Linked DNA regions of Struthio camelus. The protein of the gene in region 1 binds, or shares a complex with, the protein of each later gene. Links are inferred from orthologs where the notes say so. Each region holds a gene or a part of one and is shown in the gene's direction. Other genes may lie near its edges. The genes, in order: VDAC1, PPIF and SPG7.

Evidence for each region.
Region 2: VDAC1 (region 1) and PPIF share a complex: the UniProt entries of both Homo sapiens proteins name them as parts of the mitochondrial permeability transition pore complex. The link is inferred for Struthio camelus from reciprocal best matches to the Homo sapiens genes VDAC1 and PPIF.
Region 3: VDAC1 (region 1) and SPG7 share a complex: the UniProt entries of both Homo sapiens proteins name them as parts of the mitochondrial permeability transition pore complex. The link is inferred for Struthio camelus from reciprocal best matches to the Homo sapiens genes VDAC1 and SPG7.

The regions. Positions count from the first base shown.
Region 1 is NC_090954.1:3,702,153-3,705,898, reverse strand, and holds the start of VDAC1 (non-selective voltage-gated ion channel VDAC1), read left to right. Parts: upstream 1-1,377; 5' UTR 1,378-1,392; coding exon 1,393-1,476; intron 1,477-3,746. UniProt on the Homo sapiens protein: Non-selective voltage-gated ion channel that mediates the transport of anions and cations through the mitochondrion outer membrane and plasma membrane.
Region 2 is NC_090948.1:30,148,244-30,151,989, forward strand, and holds the start of PPIF (peptidyl-prolyl cis-trans isomerase F, mitochondrial), read left to right. Parts: upstream 1-1,462; 5' UTR 1,463-1,477; coding exon 1,478-1,669; intron 1,670-2,372; coding exon 2,373-2,403; intron 2,404-3,255; coding exon 3,256-3,344; intron 3,345-3,746. UniProt on the Homo sapiens protein: PPIase that catalyzes the cis-trans isomerization of proline imidic peptide bonds in oligopeptides and may therefore assist protein folding. Involved in regulation of the mitochondrial permeability transition pore (mPTP).
Region 3 is NC_090951.1:1,964,368-1,968,113, reverse strand, and holds the start of SPG7 (mitochondrial inner membrane m-AAA protease component paraplegin), read left to right. Parts: upstream 1-955; 5' UTR 956-1,032; coding exon 1,033-1,170; intron 1,171-2,114; coding exon 2,115-2,217; intron 2,218-3,567; coding exon 3,568-3,657; intron 3,658-3,746. UniProt on the Homo sapiens protein: Catalytic component of the m-AAA protease, a protease that plays a key role in proteostasis of inner mitochondrial membrane proteins, and which is essential for axonal and neuron development.

The DNA.
Region 1 (3,746 bases):
ATGTATTTCATTCTTATCTTTAATTTTTAAATAGGTCCTTCCCCGCATGTAAATATCATAAAGTTGATCAGTCTGTGTTGGGAAACTTTAACTTAGTCATGAAAAAGAGCGATCAAGCAAAAATTTGAATTTGAAGGATGAAGTCTCTTGTCACATCCATATAAATGCGGATCAGTGGGACAGCTAGTTTTTGTCTCGCCCCAGATGAGCTGGTGCCTGAAAGGAAGGCATGAGAAACCGAGTGCATGTGAGCTTGCGTGTGACTAGCGGCAGGCAAGTTTCAGCGCCAGTTCAAGGCGCAGGTTCGTGGCAGCACAGGAAGGGAAAGGGCACCGTGGTTTTCCCTGTGGTTGCAGCCAGTTCTTACATTTGCAAAGGACACCTCAGTGCTCTGCTGCCTATTAGACTAATTCTGAGTTAATATCCCAAAATTGTATTGTGGAGTAAAGACTTTGACATCTGTCTTGAAAATACTTAGAGTCAAATTCAGCCCTGCTGGAACTGCCTTGTATTCAATGCAGTTTTCTTCACTGGGGCTGGTTCTTGTGTCCTACAGCTCCAAAGAAAACTCCATGTTTTCTCCCTTTTACAGTTACAAATCAAGCGTTCATTTGGGTGGTGCTCATAACAACCACTTTGAGCTAAGTCCTTAGTTCAGGTTTTCTGAAAGTTGTTTTGCAGTATTTCAGTCATGATATGCACTACAGTACTTCCTACTCCTTCAGAACAAAATATTTTCCTTCCTGGAACGTGGGTATATGTTCTCCTTGGTCTGCTTTGTGCAGGAGTTGAGGTTATGTAGTCACTCTGAGATATTTGCGCTATTGGACAAGGATAAAATCAATGAAATCATTTCGCTCCTAATCTGAATTTATGTCCTGGGATTCCACCAGTGAAAAGCAAGGGCACTTGGCCATGTGGCTGTTCCTTGATCCTTTAAGAATTTGAATCCCTGTTAAGCATGCTTGTCTTCCAACCTGTGGTTGCACAGAATGTAATGAGTTTTGTTTTCCATCTGTTAAACAAGAGGCTTCTGAACATAGATTAGCTAGTGCAAACAGAAATAATTATTTTTGTTCCTTGATGGCAACAACAGTAAGGTTAACCACCACATACATATTTCATAGAGTGTTTTCCACGCTCAGCAATTTTAAATGCCTTGTTCCGTGTGCATTACATGATTTGCCTTACAAATAGCCTTACAATGGACATGGATTTAGCTGTCAATATGCTTCCTTAATTATAGTAATTGCAGAAGTGGAGATCTAGACATATCCCACTGTCCTATAACCACAGCCTAGACTGCTACAGTAGAGCAGCATGTCACAGCTGATTCATCTTACAAGCATGGTTGCCTCTCCCTGCTGATAGCCCGCTGCTAAGTAACGCCTTATGGCTGAGCACTGGGGACGGACTGCATTCTGCTGCACTTTGTACATCCGGACTCTGTGGATCAGTGGAGATATGCAAATATTGGTGAGAGCCTAATTTGGCTTTATGGGCTTTGATAAAGGAAAATTAGTCAGCCCCCTACCTCAAAAAAACCCAGCAGAACCCAAACCAAAAACATACAGTATTCAGTTTTCCAGAAAATACATTGATTTTTAAGAAGTAACTCAAAGTAACTGTTGATGAACTCAAAATACATCTGGTAGATTCTGAAATGCAGCCGATAGAAGGATGCATTATCTTTCAAAGCGATACTTATTTGCTTTTTTGATGTAAGGGTTTTTAACACTTTTATTTATTGATGATGCTAAGTGGAAATACCCATCAGAGCATTCTAATGAGACTGCGCTGCCCTGACTGGAAAGAAGCATTTCCTGAATACATACAGCCCCTGGTGGATCATCTCAAGATGTTCTGGGCTCTCTGTCCTCTCTTGAGTGCTCCCTTAGCTCTAACCCTAAGTTGGTATGATCTCCAACAGTGGCATTGTACTTTGTTTTTAGTGACCCTAATAAAAAGCAGAGGAATTACTTAGAAATAAATCTGTTAATGGTTTTTTTTTCTTCTTTTAAAGCCTATTTTTTTGTTTCCAGAACCCCATATATGACCAACTCTTAAAATGGTTTCTCCTGTAGAGAGTGATGCTTATAAACTTTACGTTCTGGCTTTCATGTTGGCACAAAACCAGAGACATTTAGGTCTTATATAAGCAGCTGAAACGGCTTTGGAATATGGAATACGTTGTGTTTTTATTTAACTACTTAACGGCTTAGGTATTTGGGGCTGCAACTTACTAATGAAATATAACTGGAAAAAATTACAGGACTCTGATGCCTCCGAGTACAGTCTCAGCAACTGAAGCTACATCATAGTATGCACCCTTGAATCCTACTTATATTTGTGTTCTAAGACGACTGTTTGCTTTGAGCCAACAGATCTGTTTTGCACCCTCTAGGATAGGGATTCTTCACTTATGCAATAGCGGGTATCGTGCTTTAACAGGCAACAGCTTCTTGAATGGAGTTGCCTGAGGCGTTAAGTGACTGCTGAAACTCCCTATCTGATAAACGTGGGGTGGTGTGCTTGAATGAAGAACTGAATCCAAGTCTACAGCCAGAGTAGATACTCTGAATACTGTGAGCACTCCCTCATGTTTGCAGACAGCTGGTTTGTTTGTGATTTAAAAGAATAGTTTTCTGCTAACGTTGAATAGTCTGGAATCAGGATTAGTAGGCAATTCTCAACAAAACATTTTCACTCGTATGTAATAAGCTTATTATTAATGCTCCATAACCAAAAAGTGTTTGCGAATGTAGAATTTTAGTGCAAAATCTGGTATTAAGAGAACCAGCTTTATGAGGATGATTTCTCCTTTGCTTTTTTATGAAATCTTGAACATGAAGAAAGAAGGTGTACACCACTTCGGATGGTTTGAATATGACTGGTTCCATAGAACAAATTACTGTACTTCAATAAGGAAGTAATTCGGTTTGTTTGTTCTTTCCTCTCAGGCTCATACTCTCCTCTGTATGCAATGAGAGTCTTGGTGGCTGAGAAAATGGGATGTGTTCTCCTTTCTTGCAGGAGGCCATTGAATTAAGAATGGTCAGAACCTGCTGAACGCGTGAATCTGAGGGCCTAAATAAGAGCGCAACATGAAGTTTGAGGAGGCTGCCCCTACTGGGCTCCAGTGTCTTTACCCTTGTGCTGAGACCTCGTTCCAGGTCTTGCACAGAGCTCTAATCTAGGTTTGATTGCTGAACAGGGGCAGCACCTACCCTCCTGACTAGCTGATTTCTAGATACTCACAACGTGGCATCCTTTCAGTCCTAATTTTTCTCAGTAAGCTCAGTTTTTCCCCTAGTTGATGAACAGGAAAAAAAAAAAAATCACTGACTAAGGAGAAATCTTAATGCATTAACAGCTGTACCAAAGTCAAAGAAAATTGAATGGTAGATGAAGAATGACTATTTGTTGCTTTTGCTAACGTGTTATCCAATTGCTGCTGTGAAGTAGGGGGAGATAGGTGTTACTGATGCTAGATGACTGTCCTGGGATTTCCAAAATTAAAGTTGGGTGACTTGGGGTCCAAATTCTTTGCAACAGGATACACAGATTAATTGCAAGTAACAGGAGAAATGCTTGCCAGAAATAGTTAACTAATCATTCATGCAGGTCTCCTGTTAAGGAAGCAAAAAATTAACTGTTTTGAAAGGCAGAAGAAGTTTCTTCTTTTTTATATTTATTCTGCAACCTGTTTCTCATCCTCAGTGGCAAATGCTTGTTAATCATTAACG
Region 2 (3,746 bases), on another chromosome or scaffold:
TGTAGTTATCCCTGTTTTCTACTTTTAGGAAGTGACGCGATTGACAGCCTTTTGAAAATTCAGTGATGTCACTGATGAAGTCACTTTTAGCTGTTATTTTTTGAGAACAAGTAAGATTAAGCAGGATTGAAAGTTTGCTATTTCTCTTGTAGGGTGCTGTCCTCGTGTGACTCTGTCATGCTGTATTACTGAAAGCGTTGTATTATTCTAACCTCCATAAAGGTAATTTATAATACAAAGCACATGAAAATTACAGGTGTATAATTATTAGAATCACCCTTGATTTTCTTTTGTTTGAAGTTAAGAATCACTGTAGGAGCTATTTTCCCCACATTCAAGAGCTGTAAGTTTTAACAAGGATAGCCTGCAGTACTATAGATAAATGCTATCTTGTTCTGGTGATTTACTGCCTTAAAATAATCTGTATAAAACTATACATCCTTTTTAGAAATGTCAGTCTTCACAGAAACATTATTTCCATCCTGGAAACTGAAAGGGCAGAATAAGCAGGCAATGCCATATATGTGCAGAGTTGCACATATACGCTGCAGACTCAGTGCTCCTGTTGTGTGCCATTAAGGCAAGACTTGATCATAAATGAAAAGCATCAGGTGTTCTGGGTCCCTTTCGCTTTGGGTATAACGTGGCAGAAGACCGTGAACGTAGCACGCTTGCGTCAGTTTGTTGTGGAGGAGGGCAGAAATTTTTCTGCTTATTTTCAGTGAAAAACTTGGTCTTTGATACCAGCGGGCTCACAGTAATGATAAGACTCCTGGTTAAAGAAGTATTGATACACTGATGGCAGGCTGTGGTTCAGCTAGTAATGTGGAACTGCACTGTGGTTATTTAGATGAAATGAAATGAACGAAGACTGCAAAATAAAAACGATTCGGTTTTAAAGACAGAGAAAACGTTTATTGGCTTACAAAAGGAGTTGTCTCGCTCCCGGTACGCGAATGGGAGAGCTTTCTTCGACTTCACAAACCAGCACCAAGCCCACAGACAACCTGTGCAACTAAGAAAAGTAAAAAATTTGTACACGTTTTTATATACAGAACAAGGATGCTAACTGGAAGGGATTTCAAAATAACATCTGAAATACAACTACAGTATATACCGATCACTAAATACTTCCATCTAAATTACTAAGTTGTGATAAGTAAAAGTTTTTTGGGTTTTTTTTTTGGTTATTCAGACAAAACAGAAACGAAGTTTCTGTTTTGTTTTCCCCTCAGCACCCGCGCCCCCCGCGCCCCCCGCGGCTGCTCGGCGGCGGCCGCGCTCACCCGCCCGGGCGGTGGCGCCCGCTGCCGCGCGAGGCCGCGCAGCCCGGCCCGGCCGCCGCGTCGCGCTGCGCGCCGCCGCCGCTAGGGGCCGCGCCGGCCCCCGCCGGCGGGAGCCATAAAAGGCGGCGGTGGCGGCGGCGGCGGCAGTAGCGCGTGGTGGCTCTGCCCGTCCGTGCCCGCTCGGCTGTGCCATGCTGGCGCTCAGCGCCGCCCGCCGCCTCCTCCGCCCGCCCGCCGACCTGCCGCTGCCGGCGCTCGCCTGCGCGCGGGCGGCCGCGGCCCGCGGCTGCAGCTCGGGTGGCGGCGGCGGCGGCCGGGGGAACCCGCTGGTCTACCTGGACGTGGGCGCCGACAACCAGCCGCTGGGGCGCGTCGTGCTGGAGGTGCCGGGCCGGGCCGGAGCGCGGCGGCCGGGGCGGGGGGCGCGCGGCCGGGGCCGGCGGAGGGGGGGGGGGCGCGCGGCAAGGTCGAGGCGGGCGGGAGGCGGGGGCGGCGGTTGCCGGTGGCGGTTGGCGGTTGGGGCGGGGCGGCGGCGCGCGCCGAGGTGACCGTCGGCGGGGGGCGGGCCGTTGGGGAGCGCAGGCGCCGAAGCGTCTCGGCGGTTGGCGGCGGCGCCCGGGCGTTAATGGCGGGGCGCCGCCTGGCCGCAGGGCCCGCGCTGTTGCCCCTGTCCGTGGCGGCAGGGTCGCGAGGGCTGCCGGGTGCCTCGTCTGCCGGCGACGGCGGGGCGCGGCCCCGGGGCCGCCGGGTTTCGGCGGGTGGCCCTGCGCCGCCCAGGTGCGGGTCGCAGTGGGGGGCCCTCCGGTGGAGTCTGTGAAGTTGCTGTTACTGTGTTGTTCGACGCGGCTGTCGGAGTTTGCTGCGGTTAGTCTTCGTTAACTGGCCAAAAGTTGCCTTAGAGAGGCCGTCGTTAATTATTAGCCAAACACTTGGGAAATCGTGCAGTGTTTCTTCAAAGCCTGGGTGGCTTGTGATTTCGGGTAGCCCTCTTCAGAAAGAGGGTTTGGTTTCGCCGGCCTCAGGTGCAGTGTTTTGTCCATGTGTGTAAGCAAAAGCTGACTGACTGATTTTTCTTTCCCTGAGCAGCTGAAAGCTGATGTGGTTCCAAAGACAGCGGGTAAGGCAGCATCTCCAGGATCTCACACTGTAAGGTTGTGATTTGCAGGAAAAACATTCTGTTACCCTTTGGGAGCTACTTCCATGTTCCTTCCTCACTTGTTAAATAGAAAAATATGACCTAAATCTTGTCCAGAGCCGTGCTAGTGACGTTAGGGTTTCCTGTAGTTTTTTTCAGATAGCTTTACTTCATCGTTTGCCTGCAAGGACGGAACAGCCCATGTGTTGGGCTACCAGTGATGGGTAAATGTGTTTAGACGCCCTTTAGTTTTCATTAAAATCAAATCCCAAAACAAATAGGAAAGGGTAGACCAAAGGGATGGTGTCTCTTAGTCTGCTAGTAACATACACAGTTTTGTTTTTCTTGTCAGCAGTTGATCAGTGAACTTCAGTTACGAAGTTAGGTTTTTTGTTTTGGGTTGTTTTCCCTTCATGTGCTTCCTTCCTCATTGCCTTTAGTGGTCCTGAGAAATTCAGAGTTTGGTTTCAGTTCCTAGCAGATAAATATTCTAAGAGAAAAATATCATGTTTGCAGTTAATTTAGAGAGTGAAAGCTTAAAAGGCAGAAAATGACTGGTTTTTTTTAACTTAAGATATAGCAGCGAAATGAAAGGGAGAAGAGAGGGAGAAGGGTTGCATTTGTACCTCGTTCTGAGGCTAAACAGAAGTTTTGTTTCCAGAGCTTTAGGCCAAAGTTTTTTCAAAGATGAAAATAATTTAAAAAACAACAATGCCTTAAAGGTGTAATAAGCTTTTTAAAGAATATAAACTGAGGACCTAATTAACTTAATTGAGTTTGAGTATATCGAATGTAATGTGCAGCAACATACTATTTTATGCTTTGTTTTCACAGAAAATTTTAGAGCTCTTTGTACTGGTGAGAAAGGTTTTGGGTATAAAGGATCCACGTTTCACAGAGTGATTCCTTCGTTTATGTGCCAGGTAATGGATTTTTTTTGCTATGAAATGTGTATATTTATGTGTGTGTGTATACACACACATATATATTCTAGAACCTAGAAAATATATATATATATATAGACTAGTAGTAACATCTGCTCTAACCTTTGCTAATTACAGAATAAGGAAGTGATAACGTGGCTTCATTTCTGACCTTTTTGCTGTGGCTGTAGCATATCGCTTGTACAAGCAAATGCAAATTCTGTGGGAGTGGCTTTAAAAAAAAAAGGGCTTAAGACTCTGCTTTTTTTTTAAATAGCAATATACTTTATTATATCGGCAAATAGTCTTCCCTATATTGGCTTATTTGGCAAAGTGGCACTTGCTTAGGAGAAGCATATGTGCAGAATTACAGTCAACCTTGTGCTGTAAGTGAGCTAAAAA
Region 3 (3,746 bases), on another chromosome or scaffold:
TACCAGCTGCAAAGGGAGGGAGCTGGCCTCTTTCCTCTGCGTTGGATTATCTAACCTCCCAGAGGTTGTTTCTCTCTCTTCTCCTGGCTGTTACAACTACGTGGAACATGATGTAAAGAGTGAAAAAATCCCAGAGCGGGGCTAGTTGTGTACTCACGCTCACACCACCGGACTCAGCACCGCCCGCTCCCTCGGTGCCAGCTATCCCTGCTGGCAAGGCCACGCTTCTGGGGCCATGGCAGGTGGCCTCAACCTCAGCTGCTCTCCTGTGCCTGCAGTCATCTTCTTGCGCCTCCCAGGTGCTTGTTCCCCTCCTGCCTAAATCTATGCTGGGGGCCTGGCTAGGGCCGGGCCTAAGGACCTGCCTGCTCCAGGGGGGCTGGGCCTAGGGACCTGCCGGCCCTGGAGGCCTCGAGCAGGCAGAGGCCGGCCTGGCCAAGGCGAGGCGGTGCAGATCCTGTCCGATTCCTGGGTCAGGTCCTGGCCAAGGCTGGGCCGCGGGGGCCTGGCCAGACCGTGGCGCCTGACCAGGCCGGGCCGGGCCGGGCCGGGGCCTGGCCGGGACCGGGCCATGAGGCCTGCCTGCCGTGGGGGCCGCCTGCGGGAGCCGCCTGGCCCAGGCCGGGCCGGGGGTCGGGGCCGGGGTGGGAGCTGGGGGTCGGGGCCGGGGCCTAGCGCAGCCCGATCCGCGCCTGCGCCCCGCTGGCCGGCCGGGGAGGGGGGGGAGGGGCCCTCCGCGTTGCCGCGGCAACAGCGCGGGCCGGGCCCGGCAGGGGGCGGGGCCACGGGGCGCCCCGGGCCCCTCCCGGCCGTTAAACCGCGGCACCCGCCATCTTGAGCCATGGCAGCTCCGGCGGTGCCCGCCCGCTCTCAAGATGGCCGCTCGCGCTTCACCGAGCGTTTCCGCCCCCGCTGAGGCTGCCGGCGCGGCGGCGGGCTCGGTGGCCCCGGGCGCGGCCCGGCCCTGCCCTACCTTACCCTTCGCGGCCCGCTCGCCTCCTCCTTCCCCCCTCTCAGGAGGCCTCGCGGAGCATGGCGCTGCTGCGGCTGTTGCCGCTCCGGGCCCGCTGCTGCTGCTGGCGGCGGCGGCCCGGCGCGGCCTGGGCCTGGGCCCGGGCCCGCCCGCGGCCCGGCGGTGGCGGCCCCGACGGCGCGGGAGGCCTCCTGCAGGTAACGGCGGCGGTGGCGGCTCGGGGCGGAGCGGGCGGGGGGGGGGACGCCGCGGGTAGGGGTTATGGGCGCCGTTAGGGCTCTGCTGCCCGGCCCGGTGCCCGCCCCGGCGCTGCTGGGCCTCCCGGTGGCGCGGTTTGGCCGTGCCGAGGCGCCGCCGCAGGGCAGCAGGGAAAGGGGCTTGTTTGAATTCGGCCTCCGACAGGGTTTAGCACCGTCCTGTGTTTTTCCCCAGCGAGCGAAGAGGTGTTGGCGGGCCACGGCGGAAAACAACTGTGACACGGCTCTGTGACACGAGCCAGGCTTCAGCCGCTGTGGGTGTTCGCCTGCTGCCAGAGCTCTGTGCTCAATTTAAGCTGGTATCAACTGTTCTGGAAAGAACTGATCCCCAGAGGTTGCCCTCCTGGGCTGAACGGGATAAAAAAGAGTGAGGCTTGTGTTCGCAGCAGGCCGTAGTTCCTGTCAGGTCTGAGGTTGTGAAACCGCCTTTAAACGCAAGCGTAGGCTGTGGGATTAATGCTGAATTACCAGGAGGAATAGCTGTGTTATCCTTATTGCCATGCAGAAGGCTTACAAGGCCTAAAGATTTCAAAGTCCTTCAGTTCTGTTGTGGGAGTACCCTTGCGTTTTGCTAGTCATAAGAAGGCGAAGCTCGTTGCTCTTTGGAAAGAATTAGCTTCTATCGTGTTTTTAGGCTGCAGTGTTTGAGTACGTGTTTATATTTATGCATGTGCTATCCCAAAATTGGGTTATAAACAATATCCTCAAAGTCGCATGGGAAGTTCACAGCACAAACAAGAATAATATTCATGTCTCCCAGCCGCTGCTGCTAAGACTTATCCATAATTCTTTAGAAATCTTGGCCTCATGGAGTACAGAATCAGCAAGCAGTCGCAGTACTCTTCCAATAGTTGTCTCTTTTTACTTTCTCCTCTCTTCCTCAGAGCCTTCCGTCACAAACGCTTTCCCCCACATTTCAAGGTTTCAGTGGAGTCCTAGTGAAACAACACATAATTCAAGATCCAGTCAGGCTTTGGAAACTCTTAGGTGAGTCCCTAAAAGCAACTATACTGGTGGGGAGGAAAAAAAGGTCTTGTTTAGTAAGAGTGTTGACTTTTCCTTACTTTCACTGCCTGTATTCCTGAAACTGAAATAAAGCTGTTTTGCTCTTGGCTTAGGGAGCAGTGTCATCACTTACAAGGCTTCTAAGTTTTTGTTTGGTGACAGGGTTGAACAGTGGCACCTTTCCCCAAGGACCTCGATTTGATAAGTGCTCACTTGAGTCATTTAGATGGAAAAGCTATTTTAAAAACTGCAGACTCTTCAGGAGAATTTTTATGTGCCTCATTAGCAAAGCTTAAAAAGAAAATATCCTCACCTTTGGCAGGAGTCGCATCATATGAGTTCATTCCTGAAGGCATTGCATTGGAACTTGGGACAAGTTAAATTGTATGATATAAAATATCCTTATTCTAAGAGTAGAAGCCCCAACACGTACAACAGAAGTAGTTATTCTTCTCCCTGCCGTCTTCATACTGGGAAAACGGGCTTGCTGATGCCTTTGAGATTTGAACAAAAGTTGTTGCTGCCATTCTGGCCAGTGTGGACCTGGTGAGCTTGGGCTGCCTTATCTTGAAGAGTTCAAAAAAAAAAAAATTTTTTTTCTCCTTTTAAAATTAGTTAGGAATCTGCACAGTCTTTGAAATGGTAGAGAACCCTCTAGAAGAAGTAACAGTTGACAAGCAGCCCGATTCCTGGACTTGCACCCCTTTCTGCTGCCTTTGTGAAAGACCATGGGAAATGGAAGCTGCAGTCTTTAAGTCAGTTGTTTTGCTTGTGAGCTTTTTTCATTTCCCTGCCAAAAAAAGCCTCTGCTGATTGTCTTTTTTAGCAGCAACTGAGAGTTTTGCTGATTGTATCTTTACTTTCTTGGCTTTTATTAGAGTGTCCTAATGACATTACTGAGGAATCCTGCGTTCAGCTCTAGCACATACATTTCCTTTAATAAACACTTACAATTCCTAGTATGAGGCTGTTGTTAACTGATCATACCAGCGTTAACTTTGGTTGTGCTTTGGGAAATGTGTGAACGTTCCAGCACTGGAACGTTCTCCAAATGATTTTCTTTGCCACGTTAATGTCTGAACAAAACTATATTTTGATGAGGTTGTCAAAAAATATATAAGAAGATTGAAGGAGCCTGTCCCTCCTGTTACTGCCTCTGGTGAGGCTGTCCCATTGCCTTGGCATACAGAAGAGGCTGTGCGCCTGGGTGGGTGTGGAACTTAGCTTTCTGTGCATTTGGAGCTCATATGTATTTCTTCTGTCCTTTGTCCCTTTTTCTCGCTTTGACCTGAGGTTTTCTGTCAGTAACTGCTTAACTCTGCTTGCCTGCAGGTGGCACTTATTATTTTACTACTTCAAGCTCTCAGGGGAGTAACCATAAGAATGGAGGATTCAAAAAGAAATCTCCAAAGGAGGATGAGGGTATGTATGTGCCAAAAGGATGTTTAATGAAATGAACCTTTCAAGCATGTGTGAGGGATAGAAGTGGACAGCGTGGAAGATCCACCTTT